Linked DNA regions of Sus scrofa. The main gene of each other region encodes a partner of the protein of the gene in region 2 in a complex. Links are inferred from orthologs where the notes say so. Each region holds a gene or a part of one and is shown on either strand. Other genes may lie near its edges. The genes, in order: P2RY12 and GNAI2.

The links.
Region 1: the proteins of GNAI2 (region 2) and P2RY12 are in contact, whole or in part, in a cryo-EM structure (PDB 7XXI), measured with the Homo sapiens proteins. The link is inferred for Sus scrofa from reciprocal best matches to the Homo sapiens genes GNAI2 and P2RY12. Residues at the interface, in NP_002061.1 of Homo sapiens: Arg24, Glu28, Ala31, Arg32, Leu195, Glu319, Ile320, Tyr321, Phe335, Phe337, Asp338, Ala339, Thr341, Asp342, Ile344, Ile345, Lys346, Asn348, Leu349, Lys350, Asp351, Cys352, Gly353, Leu354, Phe355; in NP_073625.1 of Homo sapiens: Phe59, Asp121, Arg122, Lys125, Thr126, Pro129, Phe130, Thr132, Asn134, Pro135, Ile212, Leu216, Ser219, Tyr220, Arg222, Thr223, Arg224, Val234, Lys237, Ile241, Leu301, Cys302, Lys303.

The regions. Positions count from the first base shown.
Region 1 is NC_010455.5:91,569,129-91,573,400, forward strand, and holds the start of P2RY12 (P2Y purinoceptor 12), read right to left. Parts: upstream 3,068-4,272; 5' UTR 2,818-3,067; intron 2,328-2,817; coding exon of another isoform or gene 2,192-2,327; intron 1,780-2,191; coding exon of another isoform or gene 1,670-1,779; intron 632-1,669; coding exon of another isoform or gene 542-631; intron 1-541. Other genes in the region: MED12L (mediator of RNA polymerase II transcription subunit 12-like protein), read left to right, coding at 542-631, 1,670-1,779, 2,192-2,327, 3,148-3,309. UniProt on the Homo sapiens protein: Receptor for ADP and ATP coupled to G-proteins that inhibit the adenylyl cyclase second messenger system. Not activated by UDP and UTP. Required for normal platelet aggregation and blood coagulation.
Region 2 is NC_010455.5:32,726,328-32,730,138, forward strand, and holds part of GNAI2 (guanine nucleotide-binding protein G(i) subunit alpha-2), read left to right. Parts: intron 1-1,744; coding exon 1,745-1,787; intron 1,788-2,043; coding exon 2,044-2,185; intron 2,186-2,355; coding exon 2,356-2,516; intron 2,517-3,811. UniProt on the Homo sapiens protein: Guanine nucleotide-binding proteins (G proteins) are involved as modulators or transducers in various transmembrane signaling systems.

The DNA.
Region 1 (4,272 bases), about 59 Mb from region 2:
TAGCTGCTGGCCTATACCACAGCCACAGCAACGCCAGATCTGAGCCGCATCTGCGACCTACACCACAGCTCTCGGCAACACCGGATTCTTAACCCACTGAGTGAGACCAGGGATCGAACCCGCAGCCTCATGATTCCTAGTCAGATTCATTTCTGCTGCACCATGATGGGAACTTCTATATTTATCTAAGACCAGTGAAATGATGTATTTTAAGAATAATCTTTATTTCTGTTAATGCTTAACTCAATGGCATGCTAAATATTTTCTAAAACTCAGTAACAGGATGTGTGATGAGATAAGATTTTTCTTAATATGGTATATATGATTAGATAACAAACAAAGAAATAACCAGATTTCCATCTGCTTGGAGGAAGGGGAGGAAAGCTAAAATTTTATTTTCCCCTTATTTGTTAATTTGTTAAATGAAAAAGTTGTCTTTGTCAATAAAAAGTTCAGTTTAACCTTAAAAAGAAGAAAAATAAAATTGAATAGGGAAAACAAGTTTTGGGTTTTTATTTTTTTCGTCTATTTTCTAACTTAGATTTTAAGTAATTGGAGAGAAGAACGATACCAAGATGACATAAAAGCACGGCAGATGATGCATGAGGCATTGCAGCTCCGCCTGAATTTGGTAAGATGAGAGATGTGTCTAGTGCTTTCCCTCTGTTACACTTAGCTAAATGTGAAAATAACTCCAGCTTTCCACTCCTACTATAGTCCCCGTTATAAGATGAGGCCGTATGCTCTCTTTACTTCTTCCTTGTCTCTCAATCCTTCTGTTTCCCTGGCTGCTATCCTTCCTGTCTGGTCTGGCTTCTAGACGGCAGTAGGTATTTTCGGCATCGCTTTGCCTTCTGCACAACCACCCCCCTTCCTGCCCCCGTGACTCTCTCTCTCTTTTCCATTTGTGCCAGGAGTCGGTCTCAGAGAACTACTAATTTGAGATGAGGGTTAGCTTTTACTATACTTACTTAAAAACATTAAACTGTCCTTAGGTCAAAATTTTATCAAACTTCTCATCAAATTGATCATAAAGACAAATCCCATAGGGAGGTTCTACAGAGACTTAAAATTCCTCACCCATTGCACATTCCTTTGAATTTTCTTTTTCTCACTGCACAAGCCTCTATAAAAGCTACTCTGGTTTGCCTGGTATTTGATATAAATTCCCACAGGTGAACGAGCAGTCCTGGGGGGCGAAGCCTCCCGCTCAGCATTATGTCCATGTTACAGGCTATTTCCAAATATTATTATGACAACTCTGATAAATAGGCTTAGATTCAATAGTTGACAACACAAGTCTGAAGATAACTGAATCACATGGTTTTGACCTGTTCAGATTTAAATACACTAAAATCACATCATGAAACTGGATGTCATGAAAGCTTAGGAATAAAGGAAATCTGATGAATATTAGTATGTAAATCATTTTGATGATGTGTCCACACTTGGGTACTCCTTCTCTATCTCTCTCTCTTTTTTTTTTTTTGAATGACCAGTTCCTATGCTAATGGAACCAAAAAGAGTGGCAAAAAGGATAGTCCAGAAACTAGAGGACCTTTTTAAAAAAAATTTAAACAAATTGAAATTTGGCTGCATAAAGTGATAGGGGTGGTATTTTCTTTATTACACTATGGAGATTGTTGTTGTTGTATTTTTTATGTGCTAGGTGGGAGGAATGTTTGACACAGTGCAGAGGAGCACCCAGTGGACAACAGACTGGGCCCTCCTCCTCCTTCAGATCATTACTTCTGGAACCGTCGACATGCACACTAACAAGTATGTTCTTATCACTTCATGTTGGCTTTGCTGCATGCATTTATGCGTGTGTGCCTGCGTGGTGGAAGCTCTGATGTACTGATTACAACTTCTTCCACATCTTATATCCTTAGGTACCACTAAAAAAATTCTGTGCCCAGGAGTTTCCGCTGTGGTGCAGTGGGTTAAGAACCCGACTACAGCAGCTCAGTTTGCTGCAGCAGTGTGGGTTCAATCCCTGGCCGGGCACAGTGGGTTAGAGGATCCAGCATGGCTGCATCTGTGGCTCGGGTTCAATCCCTGGCCTGGGAACTTCCATATGCTGCAGATGTGGCCATTAAAAAAAATTAATTCTGTGCTTTATATAAAAATGCTCAGTTAAGAGTATCTTGGTTTTGGTTTTAAGGTGAAAATATTTTCTTTCTCCTCTTAGTGAATTATTCACAACAGTTCTTGATATGCTGGGTGTTTTAATCAATGGAACACTGGCCTCTGACCTATCAAATGCATCCCCAGGGGGATCTGAAGAAAACAAACGTGCATACATGAACTTAGTAAAGAAACTGAAAGTAAGTTTGTGATCTGAGCTTCTGTTGTATGTGGTTTGTTATCTAGTGCATATTGTCTTTTTTATCACTCTTTAAATCAGGTGCTATTTATTGCATTCAACTTAATACAATGTAATTATTTTGCTATCTGCTTAACTTCAGCTTCCCAGTACCCAAAAGTTGTAAGTATATATATAGCTGAAGATTGAAGATTTTTCTTAAAAAAAATTTCATAAAACATACACAATTTTTTAAGGAACTTGAGAAATCCATTATCAAATCTATAAGCAAAATACTAACATTAGATTTAGGATAAATTTGTTCTTAGACTGGCAACATGCAGTTGAAAAATACACATTTGCATTGATATTTCTGGATTCGATTCATTTGACTAGGCACTTTTTTGACAATTTTTGAAATAACACAGTTTTTGAAATAAACTGTAAATAAACAATTCAGAAAAGAAATCAAGATATCTGATGACCTTACTAATAAAATAACCAATGGTTACCTTGTAGTCTGACCCTGGATTGGAGAACGTGTTCCATGCTGCAGCTCCTGCCTTCTGGTTGCAAATACTACTCTGGATTTTTGTCATTTCAGCACTGTGATGTTTGTTGTGTAATAAGAGGGTCTTTATACATGTTCTATTTTCTACTTAAATAGAAGAAGTGAAACACACTCACAAACTGTCAATGAGAGCTGCGCCATAGACCATGTTTAAGGTTAAAGAACATTCCAGCTATAAAAAAAGGAAATGCTTCACAGGGGAACTTCCTTATAACTTTTACCTTCATTATAATTTCTGTTCCACTTCTCTCTCTCTTTTTCTTTTTTTTAGAAAGAACTGGGAGACAAGCGGTCAGAAAGTATTGACAAAGTTCGACAGTTGCTGCCTTTGCCAAAACAGACATGTGATGTTATCACTTGTGAACCTATGGGTTCCTTGATTGACACGAAGGGAAACAAAATTGCTGGATTTGACTCTATAGATAAAAAACAGGCAAGAGTAAATGTTTGTTTCTCATATATATATATATATATATAAATACATGAACTTAAAAAAAGACAAAATACGTTTCCTTGTCTTCCTACAGGACATATAAAACATCTTAAGTTTATTATTTCTTGATTTTTTAAAACATATCCTTGTCATTTGAATGCAGTGGTCATTGACATTATTATACAAATAGGTCAGATCTTTGAAGATCTTCATTTAAAACTTTCCCTGAGTTTAAGTGAATTTCTAAAGCCCAACACGGGAAAACTAAGTACAAGCTTAGTATAAAAGAAATACGGAAGATCACGTTTGATTTTACTGCAGAACTGGAAATAGAATACATTTAGTGAATGAGAAAATTCTTATTCTTATGTCTTGTAAGCTGTTTTGAGTAAACAATTCTTTTTAAAGTGATAGCACCTTATTTTCTTATCAAACAATATTGAATGAACACTTGATTTATATATGATATTAAACAAGTTTCTCTAAAACACAAGGAAAATGGTCTGCTATTCTTTCAGGGAACATTGAGCAACCACAGGTGTCTGAAATCACAGAGATGTAAGACAGAGCTCCTACCCTTAAGGGGAAGTAGATAGACAGTTACACTCCAGTGAGGTTTGTGTGTCCTGGTATGGAGTGCTAGGGGACAACGGGAAGAGGCCATCACACTCAGATGAGGGGTAGGTCGTCAGAGCCAGATCCTCAGGAAGACCGACACTTGAATAATTTTGGAAGTTTAAGAATTAGCCAGGAGGTAGGGCAAAGTGTGATACAGGTACAGGGAAGTGTTTTGCAAAGGCATGAGAGACTGTGTCTCGTAGGCAAATGCAGTGCTGGAGTAATTGGAGCGCCCTGAGTGCTGATAACCATATAGTTGTGGAGAGAGGATAAAGCTAGAGTCAGGGGCAAGTTGAGTTTGCAGTGTCAGTGGGCTCTCCAGTGGTGACGCATCTGGAAGCCATG
Region 2 (3,811 bases):
GTCTTGACCAACCTTGGGGGATAGGGGGGCCAGAGTTCCACTTCCCCACTGACCCCGCCACCCACCCTGCTGAGCTGGGCAGAGTGACAGACCTGCCACAGTGATCTGGAGGTTTGGGACACATGTAGATGGGGCATGTGGTACAGGTGTGCCCGGCAAAGAGAACTGCGTGGGCCAAGGCCTGGAGTTGGCAAGAGGCAGTACCTGGCAAGCGCAGGTGTGACTGGCAGTGATGGGGCAGAGCAGAGGGAACAGGCTGGGCAAAGGCTGGGAGGGAAAGCTGGGCCCAGCTGAGGTGTCCTCTACCTGGAACTTAGGACAGGGAGCAGCAAAGGGAAGAGCTGAGGCCCTGCCCCCACCTCCTCCACCCCCCTAACCAGGAGTTTGGTGGCCTTCTGGGTCTCACACTCCCTGCACAGACTCCCTGGGGAATGCAGGTTTCTGGGCTGCACCCCTCAGGATCTGGCTGTGTGTCTGGGATAAGGCCTGTGAGTCTCTGCCTTTTTTTTTTTTTTTTTTTTTTTATACCCACCTGAGGCATCATCCCATAGCATCTGTGCATATTTTGTTAAGGGCTGGGTAGGCCAGCCATCATTATCCTTCATGTCTTCCTGCCCTTCTGAATCCTGGCTACTGATCTTGGGCCAAGACTACTTTTATGAGCCTCAGTGTCCTCATCTATAAAATAGGGGAATCCATACCTATTTGTGGGGCCGCTGTGACAGTCACAAGAGAGCCCCTGGAGTTCCCATTGTGGCTGAGCAGGTTAAGAACCTGACTAGTATCCATGAGGATGCGGGTTTGATCCCTGACCTCGCTCAGTGAGTTAGGGATCTGGTGTTGCCATGAGCAGTGGTATAGATAGGTAGCAGTGGTGTAGTGGCTCGGACCCCATATTGCTGTGACTGTGGCGTAGCTCAGCAGTTGTAGCTCCGATTTGGCCCCTAGCCTGGGAACTTACATATGCTGTGGCTGTGGCCCTAAAAAAGAAAAGGAAAAAAGAGAAAGAGTGCCAACAAATCCCTCAGCACTGGTCAAAGAGAAATACAGGGTGGGCTCCCCAGGCCGGGGAAGTGTCTTGAGTTAGTATAGGGGTGTGTGTGTGTGTGTGTGTGTGTGTGTGTGTGTGTGTGTGTGTCTAACGCTGCATGTCTCCCAGGTCCTGGTCTCTCCGCCTGGAATAGACCTGGGCCCCGCGAGCAGGGGCCTGGGCCTTGGGCCATGTCTGGGAGGCAGGGGTGTGACACCATGCCCAGATCCAGGCCCCTTGGCAGCTGCCCCAGGCCCCAGGGAGAAGAGGCCTGCTGCCATGCTGGAGCGCACAAGGCTCCTTTTTGCCAGCTGCGCCAGGGCTCCAGGTTGGGGAGCCCTGGCCACGGTGTGGCAAGCCTCCCTGTGTGAGAATGACAGGGTGACTCCCGAGGGGCTGGCCTCAAGTCTCTGGCCAAAGCCCCTGAATTTAACCAGGGCAGTGGGATCCATGGTAGGCAGTGGAGCTCGTGGGAAGCCAAGGCCTGCAGTGAGTCCACCATGGGGTCCAGGTGGCCTAGGTTGCCTTCACCCCTGTGGCTCTGCCAGCCGTACCCCTGTAGCTCTGCTACCCACCAGGCCCAACTGCCCCCATCTCACTGTGCACTTGATGGGGAGGGTGAGTTCTGCCTCTGGGGCCGCATGGCTGGGCCGCTAGTTGCTTGCCTGTGTAGCCCCACTGGCCTGCGCTGACCGCCTATGCCCTTTGTTCCAGGTGCTGGGGAGTCAGGGAAGAGCACCATTGTCAAGCAGATGAAGTAAGTGCTGTGTGCAGGAGGCAGCCTCCAAACCTTGATTTCCCCTCTTCTTCCTCTGGGCCTGTCCTGCCCCCGAGTGTAGGCCCAGCCAGTGTGAGCCAGGCCCAGAACCTTTCCAGAGGCAGAATCCATCCTCAGGTCCCAGTGGTTCAGAGGCAGTTTCCTCCTCTCTGAAGTAGGTTCCCGCAGGCCCCAGCAGCCCCAGGCGACCACGTGAGGTCCCTGTGCACCCTAACCCCTGACCCCTGGCTGCCAGGATCATCCACGAGGATGGCTACTCAGAGGAGGAATGCCGGCAGTACCGGGCAGTCGTCTACAGCAACACCATCCAGTCCATCATGGCCATTGTCAAAGCCATGGGCAATCTGCAGATTGACTTTGCCGACCCCTCCCGTGCGGTATGTGGACTCCCCCGTCCTGCCTGCCCCCATAAGGCTTCAGGGCAAGTCTTGGCCTGGGGAAGATGAGAACACCCCAGCCTGGGCCCCGTTCCGGAGGCCTCCCTGCCTCTGACAGATGGGGTGGGGGTGCACTCCTGCACTGGCTGACCCCTCACCGCTGTGCCCAGGACGACGCCAGGCAGCTGTTTGCGCTGTCATGCACGGCTGAGGAGCAGGGCGTGCTCCCCGAGGACCTGTCCGGCGTCATCCGGAGGCTCTGGGCTGACCACGGTGTGCAGGCCTGCTTTGGCCGCTCGCGGGAGTACCAGCTCAACGACTCTGCCGCCTAGTGAGTGCTCCGAGGGGCTGGGCTGCGGGCACCTAGACCATAGCCTGGACCTGAGGGCCTGGGCGCCCTCAGACAGATATGGCCAGTCTCTTCATGAAGCTGCTGTCAGCCAAGGCCTTGGTGGTGTGGGGCTTGACCTGCTGCAGGATGCTGGTCACCCCACAGGGAATAGGGCAGATAGGCTGGCCCCTGTGGGGAGACATCCACAGGTTCTGGATAGTGTCACCCTGATGGGCTGCTGACCCCATACTCTCACATCCCCTCTCCTACCTCTGCATAGGTCAGTCTCTATATCTGAACACCTTTCCCACTCCACTACCCGTCGATCCTGAGCCCACATCACTCACAGAGACAGCCTTCCCCTGCTTGCAGTGAATGCACTTGGGAGTGTATGCCCCCCTCAGGAGCTGTGGGGTCACAGCCCTTCACCACGGGGGGCCTCCCAGAGGTCACAGACTCAGTGCCAGCAGAGCTTTTGGGTCCTGGAGGCGGGGAAGCATGGGTCCTATCAAAACCACTGCCATCACAGTGCCCAGGATACTCGAGGAGGTCAGGTCACCTTCTGGCCACTTCCCACTGTTCCACAGCCCCGTCCTTCCTTCTCCAGATGTTAAGTACCCATTGTGTGCCCAGCACTATTCTGGGTGTGGGGATTCAGCAGGGAGCCTGGGCTGTGCCCTCCTGGGCAGTTTTATGCCGTGACAAGATCACCTGGGGTGGGAGCAGATTGGAACATTCCAGGGAATGGGCACACTCCAGCCCCTCTTCACAGCCATCCTCCAAGGCAGTGGGTCCCTGGGGTGAGCCCACCTGTTGGGGACAAGGGAGAAACTGGTGTAGAACCCAATGGGCCTCTGGGCTGGAGGCTCTCAGTAGGGGCCAGGTCACAGCATATGCGTCATGGTCCCCCATAGCCCTTCCTGTTTTTCTGTTCTGTCCCTGCGTCTCTGAGTTCATTTCCCTCTGGCCTAGCTGCTGGTGGGAGTCAAGAGCGGGCTTAGGGAGTTCCTGTTCGTGGCTCAGCAGTTAACGAACCCAACTAGCATCCATGAGGATGCAGGTTCGATCCCTGGCCTCGCTCAGTGGGTTGGGGATCCTGTGTTACCATGAGCTGTGGTGTAGGCTTGGATCCCATGTTGCTGTGGCTCTGGTGTAGGCCGGCGGCTACAGTTCCGATTTGACCCCTAGCCTGGGAACATCCATACGCCACGGGTGCAGCCCTAAAAAGACAAAAAGACCAAAGAAAAAAGAGAGAGAGAGTTGGCCCAGCAGTCCTGCCCCAAGAGTGAGACATC